2 linked regions of the Drosophila melanogaster genome follow. The gene in region 1 interacts genetically with each later gene. Each region holds a gene or a part of one and is shown on either strand. Other genes may lie near its edges.

Region 1 (15,901 bases):
ATCGTTCAAGTCACTCCGCGACGCATTAAGCGCCAGGCGCCGCCAGTGCCAGCCCCACGACCCAGTCTAAGTCAAGTTACCTCCAGTGCATCCAGCTGCAAGCAATCCGAGGCTGAGGAAAGTGAATCCGGGTTGTCTACACTCCCCAAGGTAAGTGATATCTTTAATAAGTGGATTCATGAATGTTGACTCATTGTTCTTAATTTTCTATCACAGATAACCAGCGACGAATCCCAGCCAGAGACGCCCAAGGATGACTTGCAGACAGGTGAATTTGATTTTGCCAAGCCCCAGCGTCCGCCACGCAAGAAGAAAATGCGCCGAACTCTTACATGGAAAAAGGAGAACTCCATTGTCGAGGCCACTGCAATAACCTCAACGGACTCCGATTCAGATTACAAGCCTCCGCTATCAGGAGCGGCCAAGAAGAAGTCCGGTGCTATCTGTAACCCACTTCCAATGCCCGAGCCAAGTTTCATTGAGTTGGATAAGTCACTGATGCGCCACTTGAACTCGCCCCGGAAGATCAAGTCGGCATACACCCTCACCGTGATGTCATCTCCCTCGCCGAATGCAGACAGCGATCAGTCTCCTAGTCAGACACCAAGGCAATCCCTGGTACAGGCCATGCGGGACAGTTTCGTGGATCAGGGCTTTGAGACATGCTCGAACGATCCGATGGACAACAGTCCGATACGCCGATCTTCGCTTGGAGCCACGGAATCGAAGCCATCCGGTTTTTCCACGCCAGTTAAGGGACGCCATGCTTCCAGTCCGGCGCAACAACAACTGTTCAGTCCGATTCTCATCCAGGAGCGCCCTCGTCGCAGTTCCCTGGCCATGCAAGTGATCCGGGAGGATCATCCGCTCGATCTGGACGCCACCTCCAGCTCACCCTCCACACCGTGCAGTGAGCGGGAGTTCTTCGCCAATGCCCCGACTGTTGAAATTGATAACTCCCAGGATGAGAGTCCGACCGGCAAGGCGCACTCAATGTTCTGGATCACCTCTGGGGACTTCACAGTCTCCCTGGAAATCTTCAAGAACAGCCCGGAGCGCCTGCGACTGCTGTACGAAATCTTCACCCAGAAAAGCTGGGAGACTCGTGACCTGGCCTTCGGAATCGACGGACACAAGTTCATTCGCGGAGCTCCCAGTTCCGACTCCGTCCGACAGTCGCTGCCCGAGCGTCCACCCAGTGTGAAGGGCTGCTCTCACTATTGGTTCGCCAGCGGAGATCTCGCAGTGCCCTTCAGCGGAAAACTGATGTCCAGCGAGAAGATCGAGCGGCTGTTTGCCTTCCTCAGCGGAGAGCAGTCGGAGTTGCGCTTCGGCGTTGACCACATTGAGTTCAGCAGCGTGCCTGAGTTCTGGCCCACCACCCAGAAGTATTCCATCGAGAGCAGCTACAGCATACTGGTGGGTCTGCAGACAGGTGCCAGCAATGGCCTGGAGGGTCGCAGCAAGTACTCCTGGCCCAACAGCAGCATCAGTGCCAACCAGGCGATCAAGACCAGCGACCTGGATCAGACGGAGTTCGAGTCCGATAGCTTCGGCAACAACAGTGGTAGGCTGTCCTTTTCGCCTGATCTCTTCTCCCTGGACTACGAGGCGGTTCCCCTGGACGAGCTGTTTGCCAAGGCTCCTCCCTCTGCCGCCACACCCGCCATGTCCGTGCCGCAAATGATGCAGACCCTCAAGCAGCAGCAGTCCAAACTTCGCAGTGTGGAGCAGCGCATTCGTGGCTACGCCAAGCCCGCGAATCTGGCCGACTCTTCGCTGGAGCACTGCCGCAACACGCCGCAATATGTCCACAAGCTGCGCTCCATCATCCGGGCCATTGACAACATTGGACGCGACGATGGCTTCCGCGGCTGCTCGATGGAGCAGCTCGAGAGCTTCATGTACTTCCTCAGCGAGTATGCGGATGTGTGCCTGGCCAACTGCAGCGAGCACATGGACAAGATTCTCGACACCCTGATGGACCGGAGGGCCGTGGAGGTCTGAGCGATGGTGCTACCTCATCGGGATCTGACTTTATTTTAAGATTTTATAAACAATTAGTTCCTAGACATTAACATATAATGTTACAAAGATTTTAGATAATAAACTTTAAAGAGAAAAGTTAAAGCCATTCAGTGTATTTCCTTGGGCATGCAGAGTCCAACAAAATCAGGGGTTCTGGAGGGCATAGCTCCTTGCTATCCTGCAGACACGTAGGAGTCTGGCAAGCATCACGTTTCCTGCAAGCACATGGTTTCTTTTTCTTGCTCTCATCAAGCAAATGCTCCTGTTGCATCAACTTCAGACATTCCTGGCCAAGGATACCATGTTAGTGCACATCCAGTGGCCAAGGGAATCCGTTTGGGGCCAAAAGGAGTTGCTGGGTTCGGTTCAATAACAATTTCACGTGCAAAAGTGCTGCGCAAACATGGTATCAGAGAAAAGTACTAACTATTAATGCAATAAATGGTTACTTGTTCAACATAAAATAAAAGTCCCGTCGACATTCTTTTGACTTTCAAATAAAAAATAATAGTTATATTTTTGCACAAGTACCACTGGTCAATATCAAGAACCACAGATTACTGAAATAAAAGTCGCTTAAGTTTTAAGAAGCAATCCCAAATACATAGATATTTTATTTGTTTCTTTCGCAGTGCCAGTTTGTTCCGCTCGGGGAGCAAGTTAATAAATATACATTATCACTCTTATCGTTAAGAAACACAAACTAAGGCCTATGATATATGTAGGTATTTAAATATATATATATATATGTATTTCTGTATGAGTAGTTTAGAACTTACATATTTGGATTTGGCTTTATTTGGATTATTTCTCAACTGTAAACCCGTCTTAACTGATCAGCTAACTAAATTATGTATCAACAGTTTTCGCTTCAATCGTGAATATTCGTAATTCATATTTGCTTAGTTACTTATTTAGGTTAATGGTTTTTGATTAATGCATTTTAGGTGCCTGTTTTTCAGAGTATTTAAGCCTTTCGCTTTCCCGTTAAATATCTAGTTTTGAAATGGTTTGATGCCTACTCTCGTACAAATGAACATTCATTTCTAGTGCCTATAACGAGTACATAATTTACAATTGCATTTGGGGTTTTATCCATGCATATACGCGCTTATTTACAGTTGGAGGTGAGTGAGTAGTGCTCTCTTTTTAACAATTTGGCATCATTCGAAGGGTATACTATTTTTTCCCACTTGTATTTATGCAAATTAATTGATTTTATATCTAACTAACCAGGATTTATGTGCTTTGGTTTGCATCGCATGTTTGCTTTGGCCCTGCCGAAATGCTTTTTACAACATTCTTCGCATACCCTCACCGATGGTATAGTGGTTTTAAAACCAAACGAATTTTTAGAAAATATTTTAGAGTGCTTCCGAACGAATGGTAAACAAATATGCGAGGTTGATTAATTTGGTAACTTTGTTTGCCTAAAAACACGCTGTGGTTTTCGCCACCAAACGTAATCAAATATTAATGGGCTGCATAGGGAGTTTCGGGGAAAACCAAAGCTTGACTTCGTTAACGTTTGCAAATTGCAATTCGCTTAATTAATTACACAGTTGTTATGGCTAATCGTATGCATCGGCTTCGAACACCTTTCATTTCGACTGTTTGTAATGGCACTTTATTAAAATGGAATCGCACATAGTTCTCAACCACACGAGTGTGTCGTCAGCAGTGCGAGGATGCAGCAGATGAGGGGCCAACTGGACGCCATTAGGTTGCCATGACTCCCGCTGCTCTTGCCCTTGGACCAATCGAATCCCTTGGGACTGCTGCCCGTCAGCTTCTGCTTCGACTTGTCGATCTCGTTCAGATTCGATAGGTATTTAATGCTCGCTGCAATTGATAATGAAAAGTGCAACGTGTTCATTTGTTCTGCCAACATCAACATCCTATGCATTTTTTGGGCACTACTCACATTTGCCGGACGCAATCACCGAATTTGTGGGTCCTTCGCCCACAATGCCAATGCCATTGCCATTCAGGGGCGTGTTGATGTAGCCGTCCAGTGCGATTTCCGCCGCGGTTGTTGTCGTCCGCCGCAGCGTTGTGGTTGTGGGCGGCGGTTGTGTTGTCGGCGGACTCGACACTACACGTAGAGAAATATTGGCGTACATGAGTGGTAGAAATAATTCAATAAATAGAAGCTATCGCAAAGTGGAACTTTAAAGGAAGTGTAACGCTACATGTCAGAAATGAATCCTTTTTCTTTTATACATTTTTTTTGCATTATTTTATCTACTTTCTGTCAGTGTAGTAATTAAAATAAGGGGTAAGAGCGTGATGTCTGCGCCAAAAAACGGTACCGAACAAAAGTGGATTGCTCAATCGGAAACAATCCATAAACAACTTAAATTAACTGTGAGTTATAAGCCAGTCCTGCCCCAAAAATGTGCGCCCCATCAGTGCCGAAACTCCTTTGCTCGATTTCTAAACAGATATTTTCGGTTACCCAGCCGCATTGTCTTCACTTATCAGCCATCGTAAATTCAGTGCAATCCCTTTTGCCCGCCCTTCCCCCCCGATTCTTTTCAATTTCTTGGCCATCTCCCCGGGGAGGATTAACAACTCTCGGTTCCTTTTCTCGGCTGGCTGCCCTCCGTTGGCATTATTGAAGACAATTTGTAGAGGAAATTTATTGGGCTTGACACTTGGCCTTGCCTCGGCTGGGAATCACGAAACTATAGCCCACTCCAATGCCTGGTTGATGTCGCCTTTCTGCGACTGTATCGCCTCCTGACCACTCAATAAAATTGTCACAGGTTCATTGTTCTCATTGTCGGAGCTGCCCCTTCTATTATCGATGCGGCCATTGTTACCTTTAATTGGTAGAATGACGCCCACTTTTCGATGGGCTACACAGGCCATTGTTGTGGCAGCAGAATGAAAACCGTGTATATATAAATTAAGTTGTCTTTTCACATTCGCCATTCTTGGTGGCGTTGGGCTCTTGTCACCACCTCACAACCTCACCACCAACAAGCGGGCATTTTATTTTGTTTTATGAACTTTTGTAATCGGAATCGCTGCTGCCGAGCTGAGCTTTAATGGCCCAAACAGTGACTGGGGAGTAATTTAGCAAATTGACACAATATTGACACTTTATTGACACTACAGTGGCTCTAATTGCCGGTTGTGAGGATTGCGCATACGCCCCGTTGACGGCGGCAAGGATATGAAGAAAAACGTCGGTGAGACAAATTAAACGCGTCATTTCCTTATTAAATATCAAAATCTAATCTTGCTGTATATTAAAAAGTATTTGGGCACCAAAAATCCTGATAAAATGAACAGTACAATCTGCTTCCTTTGGAATCAAGGAACTGTCGGAGTTTCAAGTTTAAAGACCCCCCAAAATACTGGCGCCCATTTAAAAAGGGGTGTACATATACATTTGCCTATGACAGTGGCGCAATATCAAAGGGTATAAATAACACATATAGCCTAGTCACTTACTGTACAGCTTTATGTTGCCGTCCATGTCGCCCCGAGGATTTTTGGCGACGCACTTGTAGTTGCCATAATCGCTGCTCTGAACGTTGGTAATCGTGAGCCGCATGGTCGCCTTGTACGACGGATGGCCGGGAATGGTTTCGGTTCTGAAAGTGGAGAGACGGAGGCATCAGCGTGAGGCAAGTTCAATGACAGCCATTGTGCTCATTGTGGGTCAGTTCCACAACAGCCCACAATCGGGTATCAAGGCCAAGGTGAAACTGATAAGCGCGCACTTATGTCTAATCAAAATGCGACCTAGCCTACAAAGTACAGTGGCTCCAGGTACTGAAGATCCAATTTAAAGTCAAATATTATAATATCTTACGAGTGTTTAATGCTTTGAAGAATATGCCACCAAATGGGGTATAAAGTACGTTCTAGGATCATGTTCTTCGAACTTTGAACCTATTAAAGCATTTTTGTTAATTATCACCTTTGCCTGAAAATAGAAAGGTCAAGTGGTCAAGTACTGGGTGTGTATATATAGCTAGGATCCACTGCTCCTCCCACGATGATGACTGACAGGCGATGGGCCTGCTCTAGTCCGCAGTCTCCGCGATCCGGGCAAATCGTAGTCCGGCCAGTTGCAATTTGTCACAGTCGAAACCATCATGCTGAAGCTAAGCCTAGTGGCCTGGCTCATATTTTCGCTGGCTTGGCGCACCACGCCCACCGCCTGTCGCCAGACCAACGCACCCCAGAGCGTTCAGGAAATGCTGGCCGAGCAGCTGCAAAGCTACATGGATACGAAGGCGCGTCCCTGCGAGAACTTCTACCAGTACGCCTGCGGCAACTGGCAGATCCAGCAGCAGGAGCAGCACTCCCTGCGCGACAGAGATTGGACGAGGGATCGGCAGCGGTACCAGGGTCAGATGCTGCCCACCGACACCCTGGGACTGATAGACCACTCCGTGAATCGGAAGCTGGAGCTGCTGCTGCGGCGAAGGAATGAGAGCTCCTTCGAGTCGGACTCCTCGATTCTGGAGCAGATGCGACTCTACTACCGTTCGTGCAAACGCCTTAAGCCGTACAACCTCAAGAAGTACCTGCAGCTCCTGCCCCCCAGCAACTCCACGCAGTGGCCATCGGTGGGTCGGGGCTGGCGTCCGGAGCGGTTCGACTGGATAACGACCTTGGGGCGACTGCGTCTGCACGGACTGAACGGGGTGCTGCTGCGGGAGGAGGTACTGCCGCGATGGGATGACTCTCGCAACTACAGTATCTATGTGAACAAGCCGAGTCGCCAGGAGACGCAGCCCATGGGAGAAGGTGCCATGATCGAGCTGCTTCTGGACATTGGGCAGACAAAGCGAACGGCCAATGCCTTGGCTCGCCAGGTGGACGACTTCGAACGAAAATTGCACCGCCTGCAGGAGCTGGAGGACGACGAAGGACCACGAGAAATGCAGCTTGGTTACTTGGACTCGTACCTGCCACAGCTACGATGGTTATCCTTCATGCGCCAGGTACGCATTGACTCCGAGCTGGATCTGCGCTCCACATTAATCATCGAGAATATTCCGTACCTCAGGGCCCTGAGCGATCTGATGGAATCGGAGAGCCCGGACACCGTTTGCAGCTACATCATGCTCAAGTGGTTGGCCTTCCTCAAGCAACAGGGACCCGCGGACATCTCACGAGGTGAGTGCGTGGCCGCCCTCAGAAGAGCCATGCCTCTGGCCAGTAGCTGGCTGGTGGGTCAGCAGTTCTCCGATCCGGAATCCGAATCCTACGTAAGCTCACTGTTCCAGCGTTTGAAGGTGCGATTTGGCCAAATCTTGGCTGAGAACCGAATGAGACTATCGCCACCACTGGTGCACATCCTGCAGCAGAAACTGCGCGCAGTTCGACTGCAGATGGGCTTCTTTCAGACGGAGGAAATTGAGGATGTGGAGCAGTACCACGTCCGCATCGACCTGAGCGGCCACTCCTTCTATGGCAACCAGCTGGTCTTGCTGCGACAACGCGTTGAGGCGAACCACGATCTGCTTTACATAAATGTGACAAACTTCGCAAATTCCACGGGGAGCAACTTGAGTTACCTGTCGGAAAGCTGGGAGGCCAGCAACTCGTCGCCCCTGTATGTGAGACCACGCAATCTGGTCCTGGTGCCGCACGGTCTGCTCCAGCTGCCCATCTGGCATCGAAACATTAGCGCCCTGCAGCAGCACGCCGTGATGGGATTTGTCCTGGCCCACGAGCTGGCACACGGATTCGATATGTTGGGAATGGACTACGACGCCATGGGAAACATCATGGGGCCCGTGGAGGAGATCGGCGCTAGCCGTCAGTTCCGACAAGGACTCCAGTGTCTTCAGCAACAGATGGCCACCGGTTCCAAGTGGATCGACGAAAAGCTGGCCGACTTTGTGGCTCTGCGTCTAGCGTATGAGACCTTTTTCGGGGTGCGGGACAAGCGGGAGCCCAGGGATCCTCTGCTGCCGCAGTTCAGCCAGCGGCAGCTATTCTTCATCACCTTCGCCCAGTTCTTTTGCGGCCGGACGCCCGTGCTCAGTCCGCGATCTCAGTCGGAGGCTCATTTGAAGCACGCCGCGGATGAGTTGCGTGTGATGCAGACGCTGGCCAATTTTGAAGAGTTCTCTAGGGAGTTCGGGTGCGATAAGAAGGCCAAGATGCAGGCCAGCCAGCGGTGCCGCATCTGGTAATAGTTCTCTTTCCATCTCTCCCACAGGACATGGCAGGATCCAGTGATGAATAAATAAAATCTCACCTAACGAAGAGTTTTTTAAATGTGAGTGAGTAACTCGATGGGGTAGTGAACTCTTTTCAGATCCATCTAGTTTATTGTTTAATATAGTTTTATACACTAGTAGATTTCAAGCACTACTTGAATCCAGTTACCACAGTTGGCACTTTTCAGGCTGATTGCTCTTTGCTGGACAACCAAAAGCTTCGTGAAACGGCGCGAACCCATTGAGCATTTGCTGCAGACGCGTCTCGTCGTTGTCGTGACCAACGAAGTTTATTGGATCACCATCGCCGCAGAAGAACTGTGCCAGATTGAGGAAGAAGATTTGTTGCGGCGGAATGGTCGTAAAATCGGTTAGACTCATTTGCGAGCTGTTCTGGAAGTAGGTGGAATAGGCCAGATCCAGTCCAGCAATGTCTGCAATACGCTCGTCCAGATACTGTGTACTGTTCCGGTTCAGGCACTGTAAACCCGCCACAAAGCGTGGCGAACTGGATATCTGCGGTCCGATTTCGTGTATGTTCCCATATCTGTCATAATAAAGACCCACGGTGTCGACTGAGTGCATCAACTCATGGGCAAGTACGAATCCCAACAGGCTGTACTTGAATATGTCGTGGCTATCCGCTGCAAAGAATGGCTCCTGTAGAAGTCCGTGTGGCACAACGATGATGTTTAGTCGCATTAGGTAGTAGGGTCCGGAGCTCATGGCCGTTTTAGGATCCGACAAGTAGAAGAACTCATCGGGTGTCGGAGCACTTTGGTTAAGTTGTAAAACCTGCTTTCTGGTGCGGAACTCCAGCAGGTTAAGATGTTCACGTGCGTAGTCGAAATCAGGGAGCGGAAAGACAAGATCCTCATAGTGCCGGCTGACAAAGCTACGATGGTCACGACCTCTTGGCAAATTCCCAATATTGAGAACGACATGCTGAGCTTTTGTGGCAACCATACTGTTCTGCTCACTGGTTAGCCCAAGGCGATTCTCATTGATTTGCAGTAGAAACTGCCGGCGCAGCTGTTCAAAGACCTTCGTAACTTCCTGGGTGTACTGCTGTAGTGTCGCAGGGTCCAGGAAGCGCTCCTTGTAGAGCAGGTTCGATGCCAGATTCATGTTGCGGCGCATATCCGTGACGCAATCAATGTGCTCATTGCTGTCAATAAAGTCGTCTATGAGGTAGAGCACGAATCGGGTCATGATGTAGTTGGCCACCACCTCGGCGTCCGTGGAGTCCATCAGCCGCTTAAGGCCCGTGAAGTACTTTGCATTCTGCGCCTGCATCACGTAGTGATGTGAGACACTATGGCCAACTATTGACTCGACGAAACCCTGCCATGCGTAGCCGGTTTTGTACTCCCACTGGCGCAAAGTCCAAGTCTCGCTTTCATCATCGTCGTCCACTTCGGTTAGGACGCGTATGGCGGACTCTAGCCTTCTGATCTTCCGCACAAGGGGTAATATGCTTTTCGTCGGCACACCAATGATCTGGAGAGTGGCGAGGGTACTTAGAAAACCGCCCAGGTGCTGCGCGTCCCCTTCGAGACTAGGCATACTGATGTCCAGTCGGAAGCGGTTACTGTTCTCAGAGCTCCGTAAGACCAACACGTTCACCAAAACATTGGTAAACCCATAGCGGTATAGGTGTCCCAAGGACTTCATCCACTTGAATTGAGCCTTTGGCCATGGCTCGCCGCGGGGCATAAACTGGGGCCATGTAAGTGCCTGGCCAGGAGGGGCTAGTCTAAGGTAGTGCTCCATCTTGCGTGTACTCGGCGGAGCTTCACGGCAGGTGCGGTAGAAGTGCAAGACCTTGGCCTCCACACTGGACTCGTTGAAGCCGGGTGACTGGGAGCGCTGGTGCAGCTCGTGCATCAGTTGGACTAGGTTTCCGTTCACCTTGTGGTCCAGCATCTGGATGATCTCCGTGAAGGGATCGTCGCGGTGACGTACTGCGTACTTGCCGCAGGCATATTGAAAGTAGGTGCCGCACGCACTGGAATCCTCCGCCACGTAGCTGAGGATGTTGTTCATTAGCCGTGAATTGGGATCCGCCTCGACATTCTGGGTTGTTGGAGCAGCGCAAATAGGAACAATAAACAGGCAGGCAATCAACCACATCGCAGACAGCAAACTGAGCCGAGATCCCAGATTGCTGGAAGCGACTGGCCGCGGAACGTCGACATATCAGCGAAATATAATGTGCCCACAGCTGATAATCCAGCCAAGAGATAACCCAAAACATCCTCAATCGAGAGGTGAAAAGACAATAGCACGATGACTTCAACTTACTTGTACTTTGATGACTCAGTGATCATTTGATCGTTTTCGCGCGTCCAATAGTTAAGTGAGGTCGGATTCGCCTCGATGAAGCATTCCAGGGTGATGTTGAATCCAATGGGAATACCCACCAGCTGATGCGGTATCCAGACCATGGGCGAAACTGAAACGAAATATATATATATATGAATATAAGAAAACCCAACTAAGTCCGGATATCAATTGACTTACAGTCCACGCTGACTTTGATCCGCTTGGACACACTTGGCGGCACACCATTCGATGCGATGCACAGGTAGGCGCCCATGTGCAGTCGCGAAATCCGCTCCAGCTCCAGGGAATCCGTCTCCAAGTCGTGCACTGCAATCATTTCTGGGTAAATGGCAAGCCAGAGGCTGGTCTAAGGATTGGACTCACCCTCGAGCGTCTTGTTAATAACGATTTTGTTGCCGTCATCGCGTTTCCATTTGATGGTCGGCTCCGGACTACCTTTCGCCTTGCAGCGTAGCGTAACGTTATCGCCCTCGCGCACGATGATGTCACTGGAGGTCAGAGCGTCGTCTATATTCGGCGGCACTATTGGATGGAGAGAGCGAGAGGCGGACATTAGGAGAGTATTTTACCCAAAAACTACACGGAACCGTGCAAAGCTCGATTTAAATGCAAAGGACAGAAGTGAAAAGTTCCACTTTCATGTAAATGTCGTTGCCAAGAAAGCGGAAACCGGTGAAAAACACTCCTAGGACTACAGAGACATGGGAATACCCTTTCAAAGAGAAGCACTTGTAATGCTAATAACTGGCTTATCAAAGCTACCCCCAGACAAGTTGGACTTCCCCAAGGCAGTTAGGAAGTGGAAAAAAAAGGAACATTTCACGCATTGTTGACTCCAATGCGCTCACTCCCCAGTGAGTTCTTGTTCTACTCACAGTCACTGCGTAACTTTAAGCCTAATTAGCTTTGCATCCAGATTCAGATTTGAAGTCCGTTTGAAATCCGTTGCTCCTGGCGAAATAAGGAATCATTCTGTTAATTCAAAAATCGATGCGGCAACCTTCATCAAGTTGTCATCAGGTTTCACTTCCCTTGCCATTCACTTTGTTTGAGGGATTTTTTCAATCTTCCGGGAAACTCTTTTGTATTTGGTCGAAAATCCCAGAAAATCTTTAATGAAAAATCTATGCAAATCACAGGGAAGCATGGAAAAGGTCATGGAATGGACAGCATACCGCACTGGCTTAATATCTGGCAATGCACACTGGTTCCAACCCGAAGTTAGCTGCGATAAATTACCATTCTTTTTCAAATGTATCTTATTTAAATGGAGTGTTTACCAGAACTTGGAGTTGGTAGTTGGAGCTGTGTTAGTTGTGTACATTTGTTAGCTTTGACAGTTGTTTTTTTTTATAAATTTCTAAAGTTGCCTGAAATGCAGTTTTCCATTCCAACAAAAAATCATAAATTTTATTTGCTCCTGCAATTTTCCGGGGGTCAAGGCCAGGTCTTCCATGACAGGTCACGTATTTGCAGTGACCTGTCGCCATTCATTCTGAATTGGACAGCTAATCAATGGCAGTCGGGTCAGCAAATGTCTGGTTTTCGGCACACGTTTTTAATTGATGGAACTGGAGGCCACGGGGCTATAAATATATATATACATATATTGTTCGCGTATCATTGCATCGTGGGGATTAACATTAATGGCCAGGTTATCTTGTCGTCGTAGAAAGTTGCCTTTCATAAGGAAAAACCCCTGTTTCAACTTTTCCCATCCGAGCACTATGGTAACCGTAGGGGGAAAAAAGCGTAATTAAAAGAAAAAACTTTTCAAAAGTTTCGCCCTTTTACCTTTTCTTTTCTCATGCCCAATAATGACCAAAAAACTTTTTGCCAAAGCTTTATTTCATGCTATTAATAAACGCTTGATGTGCTAATCGCCGGACAAACCAGGACAGATCCAGGACAGCACCAGGATGAAAAAAAAAAGTGGTGGCCCAACTTGGTGACCCAGCAGATGTTGTTCCCTTTGCTTTTGACATATTAGTTTCTTATTGATATTTTTAGCAGCTGCCGACATTGCGCAAACTTTGGACCCTAAACCAAGAAACTTTCTTTCTCGACATACATATGTGCATGTGAAATTTAATTAGTGGTGCAAGTGCTGGACACGAATTTCTATCGCTTATTACATAATGCGTCAATTGGTGTTTTTGGCTTAGCACTTCGCTTAGCAAGACCATCATGCGCTGCAAAATCCTTATAAACTTTTTAATTGATGTGTTTGGAAAGTTTTTAGTTATTTATCTTTTTTTGCTAGCTTAAAACGATAATGGCATTAGACAAGAATAATTCATTTTAATTTGCCGTTTTTTAATATTTAGTATCTTGTTTTATTTTCAGTACTTTTCAGTTTAAATTTAATATAAATTTTGACAGTTCTATACAGTAGCTTATGACCAGGTTAAGGTAATGTCCATTGGATACTGTTGCCTATTTTGTGGCTCCCAGTTTAGCGGCTATTTCTGTTATTTGTTACCTTAGCACATTGTAATATTGCTTTCGTACCGCACCGATGTCAACAAAATAATTGAATTTAATAAATGGCCTCATTATGTGAACATAAATGAGAATATATGTATGCGGCAGACGCGCAAAGAACACCCCGTATCCACATCCACATCCTCGTGCCCATTCCCGTCCAGCTCGTAATTGTTGGTGTTTGTTATTTTGCTTCGGTTACAAGCTGCATTTGCTGCTACTTTCGCAATGTGCGGTAATTTGGCGGGAAAAAAGGGGAGCAACTATGGGGGTCCTGCTGCTGCTCCTGCTGCTCCTGATGCTCCGTGCCCAGTTTGCATCAGGCGGCACAGCATCAGAGGATGGACAACAGCAGGCTGCCATCGGCATCACCAACGCCATCGCCATCGCTGGCGCATTTAAATGCATTCTGTGTGCATGGGCCATAAATTCGGGCGCATTTAATGTTTGTTTTTGCATGCTCAAGCCACAAATTTCTGCGTAGCCTCCGTGATGTCTGTGGATTTTATTCCGCGCATCGCATTCGAGTCAGCAAATTAAATTCACAAATGTTGCACTACCAAAAATAAATTTATTTATTTACTCATTTGCCCGACAACGTTTTCACGTTTGTTTTCCCCCCCTCAATATACGCACGACAAATGCATCATTTTAATTTCGTTTTATGTTTGTCGCTAAATGTAATTAAGAGTATGTTATGTTTTTATTGCGTTTTTCTTTCGCATACAGCATACCTGTTACTAGTTGGAGTATGTTGGCTATTTTGAAAATAACTATACATACATAAATAGATAGATTAAGCTTTCCAAAACCAATGCAATAAAGTTTGTGTCCAAAATCACTGAAAAATACAGAAATTTGCTTGAAATTCACACGCATTCAGTTTACAGAGTAGCAGGTATCTGTTATTCGACGCGATCTAACTAAATCGTTCCTCTTGTTTAGTTTTGTTAAATCGAGGTGCGCCAGTTTGGCGTTTCCGATTTTTATTTAGACCAGTGCGCACCATTTAGTTTTATAGCAATTAATTCGATTTGTTATGTAAATTAAAATTGTTTGATTTTATTTGAATGATGCAATATGCGATCTTTTATGGATCCGTTTTCAGGCAATTGACGGCCCAATTTTGATCCCAACTAAGCCGGATTTAGGAAGTACGACTTACAAGGCAAAAGGCCCAAAATCTGTCCATTAAACCGGCCTGAAAAGCTTCGAAGAGACAATTGTTTCTGCTATTCCTGCGGTTTTATGCCTTATGCCTTTTAAAAAGTCGTTAAGCAGGCGTCGGTGCTGTAAAATGCTCATATAACACGCAGCACGCGTCTTGGCCATTTGATGCGGCGTGACCAGAGCGACTGTAACTGTTAACAATTTTTTCCGGTTAACCCTTTCTGGCCAACTCTGGCTGTCGTTGTCGCCATTTTTTGTGTGTTTTTTGCGGCACTCATACTCACGCACGTTATCATCCACACAGATACACACACACATATGTATGTATCCTTGCCACACGCTGATGTGGCAAAAGTTCTGGGACGGCAAAAATGCAAGCCAAATTTACCAGAACCAAAAAAAAAAAGAAAAACACAAAAAATGCAACTATGACAGCTCTGGTCGCTCTGGACAGAGGCAACAAAACGAGCCACAAATGTGTAAGGCAGGCAACAAAAAATGGTTAAAATATGCCGCAGCCATTTTCATACCTGCAAAAGTTTTAAGGGCGTACGCCGCATGAACCCCAATATGCGATTTAAATTGGCCTGGGAAATTAGGCTTAACAAAGTTTCATTACTTGGCCCAGGCAAAAAGTGTGATCAACCGGAATCTGGCTTACACTCGATGCTGCACTTTTAATTTGTCAACGAGATTTAATCGAATTTAAATGGGGATTACTGTCTTTTGTGATTTTTGAAAAATTGCTCTGCGTAGTCACGAAACTTTGATACAATTTTTTATAGTTCTTAAAGAAACCCATTATAGAAGTGTATTTTGTGTCATGAGTGATAAGATTATAGTATAGTATATTTGTGAATATTTAACAAATTTAAAAGAGAGTCCTTACACTTAGCCTTAAAAACTTGAAGTAAGGAACAGCTTGACTCATATGATTAAAAAATAAGTTACCTTACTTTACGTTAAGGGAATAATACAAAGAGGAATCAGAAGAATTCATTAAGTTTCAGTAATGGGTGTTACCAGTCACGACAGACGGCGTTGCCGAGTCTTCTCCTTCGAAAAATAACCTAAGCCCAAATCCTACTATGTGCAGCATATGTGTCCTTGCATTTCCATGCGATGTCTGTGCCTGTGTATGTTTCTGTGTCTGCATGTGTCCCTTGTGTCTGTATGTGTGTGTGTTGCCACTGTGGTACTTTGGGCCCAAACTGTTGCACGGACTGCCTGCTGATTCTCCCCGTCCATTTCACTTCATCGTCCGTTGCCATTTGTTTGCGCACATATTTTTCAAGTTTTGCCACAAAAACTGATTTATGCGAATGGACCGAGGCACGCCCATTTCCCATTTCCCATTGCCCATTGCCCATGCCCATTCGACCCTGCAGGAGGCAATGAAGGCTTCTGTGGAATAGGATGTGGATGTGGATGTGTGCCAGTGCCGTTCGGTAGCCGGATGATGTTGATTTGTCAACTTGAAAGGCGGAACTTGTTCCCAAATTCCAGCACTTCCTTGTAGTTTGTCCATTCTTTTTAAGGATCTTTATAATTATATTGGTTTTTAATATTGTTTGTTAAGTTATTTCCAGAGTTTTGGATTCGAACATGATGGATCACGCATATCCATGTAGTTCTCAAAAGTAGAGTAGGGTCGAAAAGGGACTAAAAAAAAACTAATA
Region 2 (16,157 bases), on another chromosome or scaffold:
GGCCCGCAGCAACAGCAGCAGCAGCAGCATCCCGTCTATCGGAATGCCCAGGGTCAAGGACAGCCGGGAGCTGGGCAGGTACCTGGCCAGGGCCAGGGGCCGGTTCAGTCCGTCATCAATCCGAATGCCGCGCCCAGTAAGTGTAGTGTAGCCGCTCAAGACGATGACGATGATCGGATGTGGTTGGACTTCATTTTAAAAGAATTCGATATCGATGCCTTTAGTTTTGACCAATTTCTGTGATATTAAAAAACTGTTGATTTGTTGAATATAATTCGAAATCCTAACATATTGTTTAAGAATTTAATTTAATTTGGGTATAACCCCAAAAAAAAAAAAAAAACGTTTAGTCAGTGGTATGTTGTAGGCTGTGATTTTACTCATCTCCATCCAAACATCTTTCGCCTTGCAGATCAACAGCGTCCTAACAACGGACCCCTCTCCGGACCGCAGAATCCCCAGCAACAGCAACAGCAGCCGCAACCAGGCGGTCAACAGCCGCCCAACCAACAGCAACAGCAGCAGCAGACCGGTCCCGGCGGACCAGGACCGCAGCCAGGTGCCGGCGGACCAGGTGTACCGCCGCCACAGAGTCCGTATCGCGTCAGCTATCAACAGCAACAGCAGCAGCACAGCCACTATCCAGGCTATCCGCCACAGCCGCAGACGCAGTACCAGCCGCAGGGCGCCTATCCCTATGGACCGCCAACACAGGGCTATGGGCCACCGCCGCCGGGACCACCAAATGCCGCTCAAGGTGGCTACCATCATGGTCCGGCCGGTGCGGCGACGGGAGCCAGTGGGCATGGCTATCAGCCGAATGCCGGAGCCGGACAAGGACCACCGCCGGGTGCATATCCACCGCCGCCCGGTAGCCAGCAAGTTCCACCGGTGCCGGGACAACAGCAACCGCCGCCGGGACCACCGCCACCCGGACAGCCGCCGACTGGTGGCCAGCAGCAACCGCCACCTGGACCGCCGCAAAGTCAATACGGTCCGCCGCCGCCGCAGAACTCCGCCGGTGGACCGCCTCCGATGGGCTATGCGGGCTATCCGCCGAATCCGGGACAGTATGGCCAGGCTGGTGCTGGCGGTGGACCACCGCCCAGTGGCTACTGGCCGCCACCACCACCCACGAGCAGCGCCCAGAGTCCCTATCAGGCGTATCAACAGCAGCAGCAGCAGCAAGCGGCCGCTGGTGGCGGAGCAGGTGCACCGCCGGGCAGTAGCTATCCGGGTGGACCGCCGACTAGCGGGGCAGCGCCACCACCACCGCCGGGCGGAGCGTACAGCACCACGGCGCCCAGTCAGACGCCACCGCCACAGGGAGGCGGCGGAGCAGGCGGTGGCAACAACAATCCAAACGGACCCAATGCACAGCAATCGACGCCGCCGCCGCAGGGCGGAGCTGGTGGCGGAGCGGGGCCCAGCGGACCTGGCGGAGCTGGTCAGCAGTATGCGGGACCACCGCAACAACAACCGCAGCAGCAACAGCCACCGGGTGTAGTGGTTTCCGGCGTTGCGCCGCTGCCCACGCAAGTCCAGCCCACTTACTCGACGCCTGGCAATTACAATCAGCAGCCAGGAGCTCCGCCGCCGCCCAATCAGCAACAGCAACAACAGCAGCAGCAGCAGCAACAACAACAACAGACACCGCCATCGGCTGGCGGATCCGCCGGCGGCGGAGGAGCACCAAATGCCCAGGGACAGGGCAATCAGCAACCGCCTCCGAATGGAGCCACACCGCCGATGCCACCGAATCAATACCAGCCGGCACCGGGCGCACCACAAGGACCATACGGTGGACCGCCACCACCACAGGCGTATGGACCACCGCCGCCGGGTAGCGCGTATCCTGGCCACGCTTACCATCAGCCACCTCAGGCCGGTGGCTATGCACAGTATCCGCCGACGCAGGGCTATCAGGGCTATAGGCCCGCCGGCGCACAGATGCCGCCGCCAGGAGCACCACAGGGTCCACCACCAACCGGCGCATACGGATATTATAGCCAACAGCCGCCCCAATGAGGAAGGGACAGCCTATTACCGCCGCTGCCACCTGGCTGTCTCCACAACAAGTAATTCTCGACTGAGATTCGCTGGTTGAAGGTGGAGAGGAGATTGGGATCTACAGGCCGATCATCGATGGAGAAGGAGGTGATGCAGCGCGAGTAATAGCATAACTGGACGACAACAAAGGAGCAGACGAAGCAGATTGCGTTACACTAGGCATATGATTAAGAATTGTATCGGCACAGCAGCATGGAGGAGCATGAGCATGAAGGCGGAGGAGAGGACTACGATTAGAGCTAAGTGTGTGGAAGACGCGGTAGATGAAGATGGATTATAAGTAGTAGGATTACGGATAGAAGACGGACGAGTAAGCATAAGACTTAAAGTAGGCGAAAAGAACGACGAATGAGAAATGAAGACGAGATGGAAATTCAGGATTCCCACATTCAAGCAGCGAATTCCTCGAATTTCGAACTGAACTGTACGAAAGTTGCAGGCAGTTTTTTTTTAAATTCGGTGATAAATAGCAGAAGCAAGTAGCAGGCGAGAAAATGAACCGGAAAGCGTAGAACTAGAACAAAAGAATGGAAAGCAAACACGTAGTGAAGAAGCGATCTAGAACTAAGTAAGCTGATTAAGATGCGCAAGCGAACAAGAAATCGTGTCCTAGGCCCAAAAAATGCAAAACAAAATGGATGGATCGATTACTCGGGATTGCTCAAGTTTTGAGCTTAGTGACGAATCACTTGCATGGGCAATGGGCTGGTGTAGTCTATATGGATTCTATAGCTATATCAAATACATGATGGGTCTTCAAAGAATTACCCCAGTTTTTTTTGCTTGTAATTGCTTATGGATTACGCCGCCCATTTCTGGGAATATCCAATCAATCCATAGCAATCGATCCATCCTATTATACATATATATATTTATATATTATTAATTCTCTCTTTTAAGTAGGTTCCGCTCCCCTTTGAAAACGATTATTCTAAACGATTTATACATATACATATATTAATATACTTAAGTGTAGGGAAGAGGACGATGGAGCAGCAGAATAATAGTGCGTGTTTTAAACCCTAAATTAATGACCTAAATATTTTAACTATATATATGTGTATTTTGTATTTTTGCGTTTGTCTTTTTGTCTGTCTGTTTTAGTCTGTTATTTTAATGTTTGTGCATTTTTTTTTGTGTAGCAATTTTACATTTAATTATCCTCGGTATCCATTTTCCCGATTTCTTCCAAAAGTTTATTTTTTTTGCAGCGAAAGATTGTAATTTGTAAAAGCCAATATATATTTATACGATAAGCTTACATTTACTATTTAAAGTTAAACTAAAAACTATAAATAGCAAGCGCAAATCATGAATAAATCTTAAATTTAAAGTTAAACAAAAAGGCGAATGCATTGGAAATTTTGAGCAAACGGAGGACGAGCAGTGTACAGTGAACACTCTCTATGCCAACGCAGATACATATAAATGCCAATAATCCTAAAACAAGATTAATTTTAACTATAATTGAAATTTAAAATGAAATACTTTATGTAAGTGCTGTTAACGATTATTACAATTATTTGCTTGCACTTTAGAGAGTTTCAAATTGATATCTAAATTATTTATTAAATATGCAAAATTATGTAAGATTAGTTAAAATCTAAATCTAAGAGCTAAAAAATTTGGACAACATTTAACGCAACTCGCTAGCAAGGTAAAAAACAAAAAAAAAAATTGAAACTGAAATCGTTACGTATTTCCAAAAGTTCCACTAGGCACATAGAATCTTTCTCGCTCTAATTAAGAGTCTGGCTATTTCTGCGCTGCTCTAATCCGATCTGATATAATCTGATTCCATATACCGATTATTTCAGCATTCACATCGAGACATTTTGATATATGTTTATCAAATAGCATTTAGAAATTTCTATTTTCGAAATGCAAAATAAAAACAAAATCGAAAAAGTTATAAAAACAAAACGTGCATTTTCACTTTGTTTATTTCGTTACAAATTTGGTTAGCTTTCTAAAAAGCTAAAAGTATACTTTGCAATTCTCATTCTTACATTGTTTATACATATTTCATCTACAATATATATAGAAATCCCATGGCGATTTCTTTGATTTTTCTTAGCAAAATAACTGAAAATACTGTTTTTGAAAACCCCCGAAATAAATTGAAATAACTTAAAAATCGAGAATTGCAACCCAGTTTGGTATCCTTGTGAATATACTTTATTGGAATTGTAAGGGTATACTATCAGTGGGAGCTTATCACGACTCCCGATGGCTGTTTTTTTGTATCACCTCCTAGTCCTGCTCCTCCTCCTCCTCCTCGTCGAGATCTTCCAGCAGCGGCTGGTCGCCCGATGGACTGCCTGGCGATATCGCTGCTCTCCCCGATGCAACTCCAGTTGCTGCTGCTCCTGCCGCTGGCAATCCTTCGCCCTCGGCAGCTGTCTCATCGGTGGCCTTGCCGCGCCGGAAAAGCTGATTGAAGATCTTCTTAACAAAATTCTTCGGCGCCGATGTCTGACGACCGACAATGATCATCTTGGTGGCCACACTGTGTATGGGTCCAAAGGCCAGGGCAACCACTGTGCATGCGAGACAGATCACATTGTACGGCATGCTAAAGTCCGGCGTGGGCAGTGAGACAATCAGCGCTTCCGTGTGCAAACTGAGAACATAACTCGGACGTGTGGCATTGAACGAATGCTCAAAGAGATGCCCCTCCGGCGGCAGAGCGGTATAGTTTCTGCCCATCGGCAGTTGGCTGGACACAATGGCCGAGCCGATGTAATGGCCGTGATTCGCATCCGGCGGATACTCCAACCATTTGAGCAGCAAATAATCCACATCGATGCTTATCAGCGCCGATGTCTGGCCGGGCAGCATGAAGCCAATTTCCAAATGGGACGGCAGTTCCCTCTGCTTGCCGGGCGTATAGTGGAGCAGCTTGAAGGTCAATCGCTGGCCTCCGTATTCGTTGACCCGCTGCGGCTTGCGACGTATGGAAAGGGTGTGCAAATAGGCGTGCACATACCACGGTATCACCTCCTGCAGCATTATGGGCAGGGCGTCGTAGTGCGAGTTCGTCACCTCCGTAACGATCCTGCCACGCTCCTGGCCGTGTCCCAATAGATAACGATGAACCGTCACCGGTGGCAGTGATGGCTTCGCCAAATTGCGACGACGATTTGCGCTCTTCGGCGCCAGCCAGGCGACATTAAACAGCCGTTCGCCGGCCTCTTTGAACTGCTCGTGCATATCGTAGACGGAATAGACGACACTATGCCCACCACGAGTGGTCTTCACTTCGTGCACGGGTTCTGGAACCAGCTGATAGCGCTCGCCCAGCTCGTTGCGCTGCACATAGATCTTGGAGCTCTCGGCCAGCTCACAATAGCCATTCAGTCCCATGCCGAACAGGCGGCGCAGCGAGAAATCATTGTTGCTCAATTCGAACAGACGGAGATCGTAGACCAAGTTGGCCGTCTGCGTCAGCTCCACAATGCAATTGTCCTCATCGTGATCCTCGCAGAGCACGCGCACCTTCAGGCCCAGCGAATGGTATTTGGTGTTGTGTACATGTCCCGAGTTGAGAAGTGAGGCAAAGCCTGAGGCACTACCGCATGGCAGTAGTTTCTTCCACGGCGTCAGATTCTCCGTGCACACGATCTCACGCGGCAATGTGGCATAGCGAACGAATCTTTGGCCATTGGCTGGCATAAATTGTGGACGAATCAAGTGCCTCGGTGCAATGCTATTCGTATTGTCGACGAAATTCAACGAGGCGCACAACACGCCCGAGAAAACGTTGGCCAACTCCTTCCACTGGCGATCCACATCCCGGTTGGTCAAATTTGCGCCACTGAACCACGCCCACATCTCGGCACCGCTGGTGGCCTCCACAATGGGATAGCCCCATGTCTCGTAGCGCCACAGTCCCTGGGTTAGGCCAATGTGCAGCTCCTTTACCGCAAACTGCTGCAACAGCTCCGCAATTACTCGAGGCGTCAATTGGGTGTGGTAAACTGAAAGAGCAAATGGTAGACACAATATAAGCATTTAATCGGTTAACCAGAAGTTCTAATGATGCTTCAATGGGGCGCATATGTATACATATATGTAGGAACACCTTTCGGCATGCAATGGCCTGTATTTTCGTATGCCGGTGGGTGAGATTCCCGCCCCATTTTTGCAATCGCAATGATGCGGACTTCGGCCGCTGAAAAAACTCACGATTATCCTTTTCGCCGTAGTGCCAGCGCGTGGTGAACTGAAAGTAGGTGTTGACATGGTCGCCGGACAATGGACGAACCACTAGCTCCTCGTGGAATCGTTCGTCATCGCGTCCCAAATTCGCGTCGGCATTAGGTGCAACCAGCAGCAGCAAGACAAACGCCACCGGATACATGCTGGCCCATAGGTTCAGTGCCAGTTCCTCCGCCCTTAGTCCGTTTCGGTTCTAACGACAGCTGATGATCCGTTTTAATGTATTTTATTTTATTTTATTTATATTTATTTATTTTTTTTGTGTTTAGGTTACCGCGACATCCGTAAATGTCGTGGAATTATTTGGCCAGCCGGATATGGAAATGCAAAATGGAAATTGCCACGGACTTAAGGTTGCAAAGATTTATAAGTTTATTTTAATTTGGTGTAGTAAATCTTTGATGTTTTCGTTTTTAGAGAGATGGTAGATGTCTTGGTATTTTTCCAGGGCTGGAAAGTGCTGCCTAGCAGTGTTGTATAACTTGTGGGATACGTTATCGATAACGTTACATTGGTCACACATGTTATTGTTTGTAACGTGCATTTGATTCAAAATATAATTGTCAAATGCGTTATCGCTGAGAAGTCTGTTAAAAAGAATTTGTACCAAAGCAAAAAATCCACCACATCCACGAGTTGGGCTTACAACTAAAGCACCATAAATGAGAAAGCGCGCCAAAATCGAGCATCATCAAAAGTGAGTAATAAAGGAAAAAGCGAAATAAAGTAGCTGCAATCTTACGGAATCGTGAGCCCGCCAAAAATTTGGCGTACACCCAAAGAGAAAACGCGAATAAGGTATAACAAATAATGCTCGGACAGCGAAAGAAGGAATAGGGAATCGAGAGAAAGATAAAACAATTTATTGGAATTCTTAGTGAAAAGTTAGAAATAAAGGAAAAAGTGGACAAAAAAAAACTGCACTTTCGATGTATTTTAATACTCAAATTTTATTAACATAGAAATTAACGATTAGACAGACCGTTTTCTGGCTGACCGTTTTATATACCGTATATACTGTGAAAAATACTACATAATACTCATGGGTGTGGAACACCGCTTAATCATTGGTTTATGTCCAGGATAAAAATTTTAAACGTCGTTTATACCTTTTTAAAACAATCTATAGTTAATCAAAAAGAATAAATATAAATAAATAAAGAGTGAAAACAAAGCAAGTGCATAAACACAGCGATCATTTATTATTATGTATATTTAACACACATATTTAATATGCACGCGAATAAAATGAAAAAGTCAACGGCAGTCTTTCAAATGAAAAAACTAAAAGTAACAAGGAAAGTTTTTTTTTTCTATAAATATAGAACTAAAACTATGATGAAAAAACTCATCATTTGATAATACTAATAAGTATGCTACTTCAGTTCTGGCTTCTTTCCGAGTAAATACATGATTTTCCAACTTCTTAGAAGTCATCTGCACGTTTTTGACCACAAAAACATCTTCTCCTTGAAATTATTTGTTGCACCTGGGTTCCTATAAGCAAAAGTAGTTTTTTTTTAGTGCATCTAAAAAGGCAGCTTATTGTAAGCAGCTTACATGAAGTCCACGGGGCTTTCAGCTCTTTAAATTTCTTTCTTTTGCGTTTCCGGGTGTATCTAAACAAGAATTTCGAAATGGTTTTGATTAAAGTGCTCATCTTCTTGAAAGCGCAGCACTTGTCTACTTACTGTGCCATTGCTTTGGGGAAGTTTTGCTTCCGATTCTTAGTCCTGTCGTTGAGCTTGCATCTGCTTTCGGTCTTTTCAATCTGTGGCTATGATTATGATGCAGTTGCTCCTCGCAGGAGAAGACGCGACTCTCGTCCTGCGATATCCACAGTCGCGCTTTGCACGTGCAGGTGGAATCACCATGCGATAGCCGGCTTGAAATTTAAACTAATGTCGCTGCAGCTAAGGACTTTGTTCGCATATCCAGAGCGGTGGAGAATCTGCAATTCAAATTGTTGTATATGTATATATTGTATGTATATATGTTTTAGCCACTCTGTAAAAGTCCCATGTAACATTCATGTACCTAAACTAAATGCATAAACAATTTTAAATAAACGTGCCAATTTAATGGAAAAAAACATCGATCACAGCTGATTTGCACTAGAAGGTTCGAGTCTCTGATAGCCAGCAAGTTGGTATTTTTGCAGCATATTTTTTCTGCTGTCTGCGCACCATAAAATTGTTTATATTACTTTTCAAAAACATTGGCAAGCGTATATTTGCACAAAATGTAACCCTTATCTTATAATCAAACGGGTAAATATATTTAAACGGGAAAGTGCAGCAAATGCAACGCGCGAGTCCGTTTCCACCACATGGTATTCGGTTTGGATTTTTTTTTAGTATTTTTTCGCGGCATTCTACCGCACGCGTTAGTGCATACGCACACGGCTCGCGGGGCATATTATAGCGACGCACCACGGTCACGCTGCTCAAAGTGAAACGGCCAAACGAAGAAGACGTATCGTGTGTGCTCAGACTTGTGCTCTCAAAATTTTTGGTCAACTACATTATTCAGCTCTGGTAGCGAAACAACAACAACAACTACTACTACTACTCACACTTAACAACAATACGAACGAAATAACAATGCCGTCGACGCAGCGCCGAAACGCAGATATATTTTTTTTTGTTAATTCTTTTGGAGCAAGCAAGTTCTTCTTCAGCGAGCAAAAAATAAATGAAATGCAGCCGCCGCACAACATGATATGCAGATTAATTTAAACAAAACAGCGATCGAACTACCGCGGGTGGGGGTTCTTTTTATCACTATATTTGACAACAATTTGTATACTGTTTTTATTTGTTGCCGTTGTTTTACCTTTTGGTCAGTCATATATGCAGATATATGTATATATATATATATGTATATCTTCATAAATGCACATGAGAATTCGCGGAACGGAACACACTATAGAAACGTTAAGCAGCGGCAGTAGCAGCAACAAGAACAACAGCAGCAACAACAACTACTACAACGAACAGAGACGACGTCGAAGGAAAGATTTTTACTCGCGTCGCGGTATACTTCAACTGTTTTTGAACTTTTATTGCGTGTTTGCTGCTGCGACAAAACTTGCGCGGCGCCACAAAGCGGAGAAAACGTTGACCGCGTGTGTGTGGCGGAGAGCATGCGCTCTCTCGCCCGTATACGTATACGCGCTGTTGTGCGGTGGTGTGCGTGTCTGCGCCAGTCGGTACGCGATTTCAGTTGCGCCGCCCGTTTCGCTCGCGTTTATCGCGACTCACACACTGAAGTGAAGGCGGGCGACAAGCGCTGCCATTGCCAATGCCACAGTGTTGTCCGTTGTTCGCCGCGTTCGCTCTCGCCGCAACTCGAGTCGATATGCCCGAATTCGCCGCCGCGCCTGGCTGTGTGTGACTTGCTTGCTCCAAATTTAGACGAACCCTCATTGTTTTCCTCCCCTGTCTCAGTTTAGAGTTTTAACTAAAAAAGATCACAAGCCAAAAAAAAAAAAAACAAAGAGAAACCTAAAGAAATATCAACCAAAAGTGTGCAAAATCCAAAAGATTCTACAATCCGAATCGAAAACAAAAACATAAGAACCACAAAAGCAGCAGCAGAAAGAGACACAGAGAGCAGCGAAAACTTAACTGCGAATTCAGCGGCTGAAGCAAAGCAGCGGAGCCCAAGTGCAAGCGAGACGGCAGCAGAGCTCCGCTGCAAGGCAACGGGATAGAAAGAGAGATAAATAGAGAGACAGCGCAGCAGCGATATAGAGTGAGAGCAGGCGGGAGAGCGAGTAGCGGCAGCGACAGCAACACAGCCACAAAAGAGATCGTGAGAGGGAGGGAGAGCTAGACGACGACCTACTACACAAAAAAAGGTGATAATTTTTTCATTTCATTCTTTTTACCTTTTGATTTTTCTTTCTTTACCCCCTTCGAATTTCGTTTTAGTTGTATTTTGTGGTATCTATAGTTAACACATCTTGTACGCCTAGTCTAGTTTTAAGTGAAAATCGTACGAATCGTACGTACCAAGAAATGCCAAAGCAAATAATGTAACTTGCTCTCTCTCTCCCTCGCACACTTCCTCTAGCTCTCGCTCTCATTTCATAACTCGTTTTCCATAAATTTCATATATATTTTATTCAGTTGTATATTTCTTTGTTCACCCCACTAAGAATCAAACGCCTTTCCTAATTCTCGTCCAAAAAGTCCAATCAATTCAAAATCATTACGAATTTCGATTTGCAGCTTTGTAGCTCACTTTCATTGAAACCACAAAGAAATAAATGAGAGAGAGAGAGTGTGAACATTTAACAGTAACGAGGGCTGTTATTAACATTTCAGCGGTGCGTAAAAGAAACCAATAAACATTAACAAAAAAAAAAAAAGAGAGTTGCTAAAAACCAAACAAAAATGTCTGCATTTTTCAATCCTTTCGAGTGTGTTTTGTGGGCGGGCTGACGTCTGACATCACGCGGGGCTGCTTCTTTTGCTCCTAGTTACTTTTCTTGGCCCAGAGCTGTGTGGAACAAGTCATAGTAAGAAAGTATCGTTGGTTTACAATGGGCACATTGGAACACTCTTCTATGGAAAGTGCACCACTTGCCCACTGTGTTTTTTCTCTCTTTTTCGCTGCCCCAGCGGCAAATCTTTATCCTTTCGCATCGAATTCGCCATCTAACAGTGTGCGTTAACATGAAAGCGCTAACAGCGGCAGGGCAGCCAGAGCCACAAGGCGAAAGGGTGAGGGGGAGAGTTAGTCAGTGGATGAGTGTTCGCCAGCAAATCGTAATATACTTTTGTAACAGACCACTGCTTCGGGCCGCGCTGGCGGCAGACTGAACCGCGTTGTCACACATTCAAAATTTCAACAAACTTCGCTACGCTGCCGACGTCGACGTCCCCACGCCAAGTTAACCAAGCGAGTGTGAGCGAGTATTGGGCTCTTGAATTCGCCTCACGCTCACTTGTCGCTTTGTCGCCGGCCGCTCTCCGTCTCGCTCTCGTTTTCGGGGAATAATTTCAATGATTTTTCTTTCCTTTGAAAAGAAGTTTCTAGCAGTTGTAGTTGTAGTCGCCCATGGGCTTAGATTGTATTTTTTATGTTGCTCTTCGTTCGTAAATTTCATTTAGTTTGGATATTTTATCATTTTACGAGGGGTTTTAGGCAGTTTTTACTCGATATTTGTACATTTTTGCACTTGTAGTTTCCGCAAGTTATGGTTTTGTTGCGGCATAGCTTAAGTTTTCCCCCACAAATGTTAAATTGAGTGGGTTTTTAAGCATTTTATCATATTTTTTGTAGGGTTTCTTTCAGGTATACGCTGTTAACTATAGGAGAAATATTGTTTTCAAAGTAACAAGTACTTATGTATGTGATTTTTGCCACTTTCGTACATTTTAGACAAATCAATGAATATTTCTCATTTTCAACATATTCTATTATACAATGACTAGCTGAAATACAGAGGTGGTCAAAAGTATTTACAGTATTGAAGTATTTTTGACCACCTCTGTATTTAGCCTTCATTGGTGGTCGTTCATATAATGTTGTTTCCCCACTATCTTATCTCTTTTGATTGGATTTCACATGTTTAAGGGGTCAAAATGAGTGTATTTTTCAATGCTCAATTCGCTTCCGTTTTCAGCATGCTTACTCACGCACACACTTGTGCGCTTTAAACGCTTACGGTTCTGTGTGTGCGTGTATGTAAATGTCTAATACTTGTGTCAATTTTCCCTAGTGATGTAATAGATTTTTTAGGTGCGGCTTTTTTTCCGCCTTCATTCGCTCTGCCATGTTCCACACTTTTTCATGCTCTTTAATATTATTTTTTTTAGTTTGCCAACGAGGTCAGACTGGCACAAATACACATGCAAATGCACGTGCATATGAGTGCGCGCACACAGAGACATCCCTAAATAAATCGCAGTTTGCAGTTCTCCCTTCCACCCTTGCTCTTCTGTCTCTCGTTTGTCTACCTTTCATATGCCCTACCTGTAAGCGATCGCTGTTGTTGTTACTGTTAAATGAATCTGTTACACTCCTCTTCTTTCTTAAAACCTTACTTCCGGCTTGATCATCTCATGCTCTCCCTCCTCTCGCTCTTTCTCACTGTTTCTGCATAAATAAGTTGCCCGCATTTTGTTGTTATCGCTAAATTCTAGTGTATGTGTGTGTGCTGGTTGGGTGTATCTGTATCAGCTTGTAGTATTTCTAAGCCTTGTTTTGGTTTCACGCCCTTTTTATTTAATTATCTGTAGAATGTGCGGCGACCCAGAGATTCCGATTCCGTTATCCCTCATTAAGAAAAGTAAACACCTGCCATAATATGTAAACATTACGCATTTACATATGTATGTACATACATGTACATACACACTATAAACCAAAGAGATTGCCGTTATTGTATTACGAATTTTAAGAATCAAGCTCATCCTAGTAATTGTTAATGTTTGTTTCATTATTTACTGGTCTGGCTACTCTTTTGGTTTGTAATATTAAAAGTAAGTGCGACTTTTCCTTCTCTGCGGTCGCATTTTCCAAAAGTAGAACAAAAAGCATTGGCTTAACCCCTTTTGTTCCCCCCATTTTCCGACCGATTGAAATACGCAAATGATTGATGTAACTTTGTTAGTGCTCGCTTCCTTTGCCTTTAAATTAAGCCCATTAAAATTAATTAAGATATTGACCCAGTTCGCTGGCAGTCGTCGGAAAAGCGTCGGCACAGAAACAAAATTGTTTCAAGTGCCTGACATTTTTACATTAAAGCGACATGACGTCATTAGATGAACTTGTTGTGCTCACTTTGCTTGTGTTTGTTGGTTTCTGCTGGAAAACGAGCATAAGCAGTTAATAATTGGCAGTGATTGCAATAAATGCAAATATGTATTCTTTTTTAAATGGAGCATGAAAAAAGAATATAAGGGGGAAAATCAGCAGAGATTGCAAATAAAAACTATAAACAAACCACGGAGTACTTTAATTTATATGTATGTATGTATGTGTGTGTACATGCATGTATGTACATTAACTGCGAAATTCCACTGTATTTCATTGGTTTCTTTCTTTCCATACTCGCTGGATGGCGGTAAAAGGGGGAAGGTCTGAGTTAGAAAAACAAATGACTTTAAAGTAATTGTGATAAGGCGATAAGCCACTACCAATTTTTCTGCTTGATAATTGATTTCGAATTCAAACCATTTGTTTATTTTGGGCTGGAAATATTTCAATGCTGTTTCTCTCTGCTCTCGACTTCCACTCTCTTTCTTTTTCCCTCTCTTGCCTTTTTTTGTCACTTCTTTCGTTTCTCATCTTCATCAACCTGTTGTTATTATTGCTTCTTTTTAGTGGGCAATTAAAATGAGCAGAAAAAATAAGAACTAAGATGAAAATGAGCAACGGTAAATTTAACTTGCTTGTGTGAGCGGGATGGCTGTTGTAAAAAATATTAGTTTAAAGTCTGGAACTATCAAATTTGCAAACATATGAATATGTACATATGTATATGTGTATCTATATCTATGTTTTCGTACATATTCAATAATGTAAGCAAGCGAATTTTTGACGTACAAAAACAACCTTGTTTCGGCTTTTTTCGTTTTGTTTTCTTCTCAATGATTTTTTTTTACTCATTTCGCATACATTTCAAAACAAACAATACAAATTCATTGATTTCGACTTTTACTTTCCTCCGCATAACTGTAAATTTTTTGCGCCTTCGCTGTGGTCGCTTTCTTTGTGGCGTCTTCTTCCACGGCAGAACACCAGCGCAAAAGAGAATCGAAATCTTGGACAGAGAGAGAAATAAGTGTGTCATCCACATGCCTTTTATTCAGCTTGACCCCCTTTTTCCCAAAGTGTAATGCGTAAGCACTGAAGGATTAACCATTAAATTTTGCTAAGTATTTTATCACTTCTCTGACGTCAGCCAATAAAAAACTACAACCCAGCCTAAAGCTATAAATGTATGTAAATGTACACATATGTATGTATGTGTCTGTATGTACATATGTATGTATATTGCTTTAATTGATTAACACGCAAAAAGTTGTATTTGTATTTTTAAATGAAGCACAATGAAAATAAAATTACAAGGAGGCACTCAAATCGCAGTCACAGTGGTTTATAATGTTTTTCATAATGTCCTATTACAAATATTGCTGTTCTTGAGACAGTGTTTTACGGTTGAACTCATTGCCAAGGAGCTCAATTTTATAAGTTCGTACATACGAATGTATGCACATGAATACGTACATATGTACATACATACATATGTACTATATTTTTTATTAGTTGTTGGTCAAACACACGCATTGTGGTTACAGCGAGTTAGCAGTTTAGGCAAAACGCAATCAATTAGCACATGGTTTATGCCAACAGCAATGCCACTACGTATTTATAAATATCTGCTCATATATTTACACATACCAATGTATCTTTGTACGTACATACATATGTACATATACTTCGCTTTTCACGAACAACGAACAGTAGCAGCAAGGTCAGCGATAAAAGCTAATTTCCTTTCCGTCTGACTTTTTATCCTGTCTCGCCAGACAGCCACGAAATCCCCCAACTAACTCCCCGAACTTTTCGCTTGATCCCCCCTCACCCGTTGAGTGTATTGATTTCATTATCCTGCTTTTGGTGTTGCCTTTATAATGTGTGACAACTTCCAAATACTCTATAATTTAATTGGGGTTTTTATTATATGCTAATATGGTGTTATATGGTTATGTGCTAATATGGATGTGGATGGTTCTATTTCGCTGTCCCAGTCAATTGTAAACCCATGTTGTAGCTTCCCTCTGGTTTTTAAATACAAAGAACAGTAGCGGTCACAACAATAGTGCAAGAGTCCATGGAAGAAACCTGGTTATGATACGAAAGTCTACCCAAAAATTTCCCATTAGCAAAATGACCAAAATTTCCAAAAATTCTAAAATGCCAATCAAGTTGCCTTTAACTTTTCTTTCAGTCCTAATAAATGACACTTCATTTGAAGCCTGACAAGTCAGGTGAAAAAAATCAGTTGAACTAAATCGATTGAGCTATACGGAGCAAAAAAGCAGTGCATAAAAAAACAAAAAAATAAAATAAAAGAAGAACACAAGTTATTAAAAAAAGATTTTTTTTATCGAAAACTTGTGTTAGTGGTGCTAATATCGTGACCCAGAGTGAGCAGGCAAGTTGTACACACATGGAAATGTTAATTTGTATTTTCAGCACACCTAGAAAATATTTTTTTATTCTCCTTTTGATGAATACAATTCCTAAAAATTCAATAAATGTTGCCTTTAACTTTTCTGTAAGTCCTAATAATGACATTTTCATTTGTCAGTTGAACAAAATCACTGTATATTCAGTGCCTTAGAGTTTACATAGACCAGTCTTAAGTTATACCCGAAAATGTAGGGTATTTAGGAATTACAATTCATTACCCTTGTCTGGGGGCCTTGAAGTTGCTCTCTTCTCAGCGATTCTCCAGTTTGCTACCCCCCGTTTGCCCTCACGAAATAACGGTAAATAATAACAAATCGCCAGCTGACTCCGTCTGCAATCCCATAGTGGCTAGTCTTTTTTTTTTGTGTAGGACATGTCATCGACTTGGTTTTTGTTGCTTGTCTGCTTCTTTGCTTTCTTCTTCTTGGCGTCTCTTCTTCGCTTTTGTGCAAAGGAGGAGCGTTTAAAAGAAAAGGGGAGAAGGTTAGGCACTTGGCAAAAAAGAATATACCAGTTCAATGACTTAGGGGCGTCCAACGATTTCGGGGTTGTCTTTTATATTTACTGTTATTGCCCTTTTCTCCATGGGACATTCTTGAATATCTAATATGGAGCATGTCGTTTTCAACACTGGCACGTACTCTCTAGAAATT

Evidence for each region.
Region 2: of Nepl5 (region 1) and Trf2, changing one suppresses a phenotype caused by changing the other (phenotypic suppression), as found in Drosophila melanogaster (one study listed by BioGRID).

What each region holds. Positions count from the first base shown.
Region 1 is NT_033779.5:6,375,158-6,391,058, forward strand, and holds Nepl5 (Neprilysin-like 5), read left to right. Parts: upstream 1-6,108; 5' UTR 6,109-6,140; coding exon 6,141-8,195; 3' UTR 8,196-8,262; downstream 8,263-15,901. Other genes in the region: slam (slow as molasses), read left to right, coding at 1-150, 217-2,007; DIP-epsilon (Dpr-interacting protein epsilon), read right to left, coding at 3,683-3,870, 3,953-4,123, 5,491-5,633, 10,527-10,677, 10,746-10,874, 10,932-11,090; Nepl6 (Neprilysin-like 6), read right to left, coding at 8,388-10,355.
Region 2 is NC_004354.4:8,400,537-8,416,693, forward strand, and holds the start of Trf2 (TATA box binding protein-related factor 2), read left to right. Parts: upstream 1-8,735; 5' UTR 8,736-8,828; exon of another isoform or gene 8,829-9,216; coding exon of another isoform or gene 9,217-9,438; exon of another isoform or gene 9,439-9,745; 5' UTR 9,746-10,153; exon of another isoform or gene 10,154-11,122; intron 11,123-16,157. Other genes in the region: CG10555 (uncharacterized protein), read left to right, coding at 1-136, 413-2,028; PIG-T (phosphatidylinositol glycan anchor biosynthesis class T), read right to left, coding at 4,324-6,050, 6,259-6,433; lawc (leg arista wing complex), read right to left, coding at 9,217-9,438.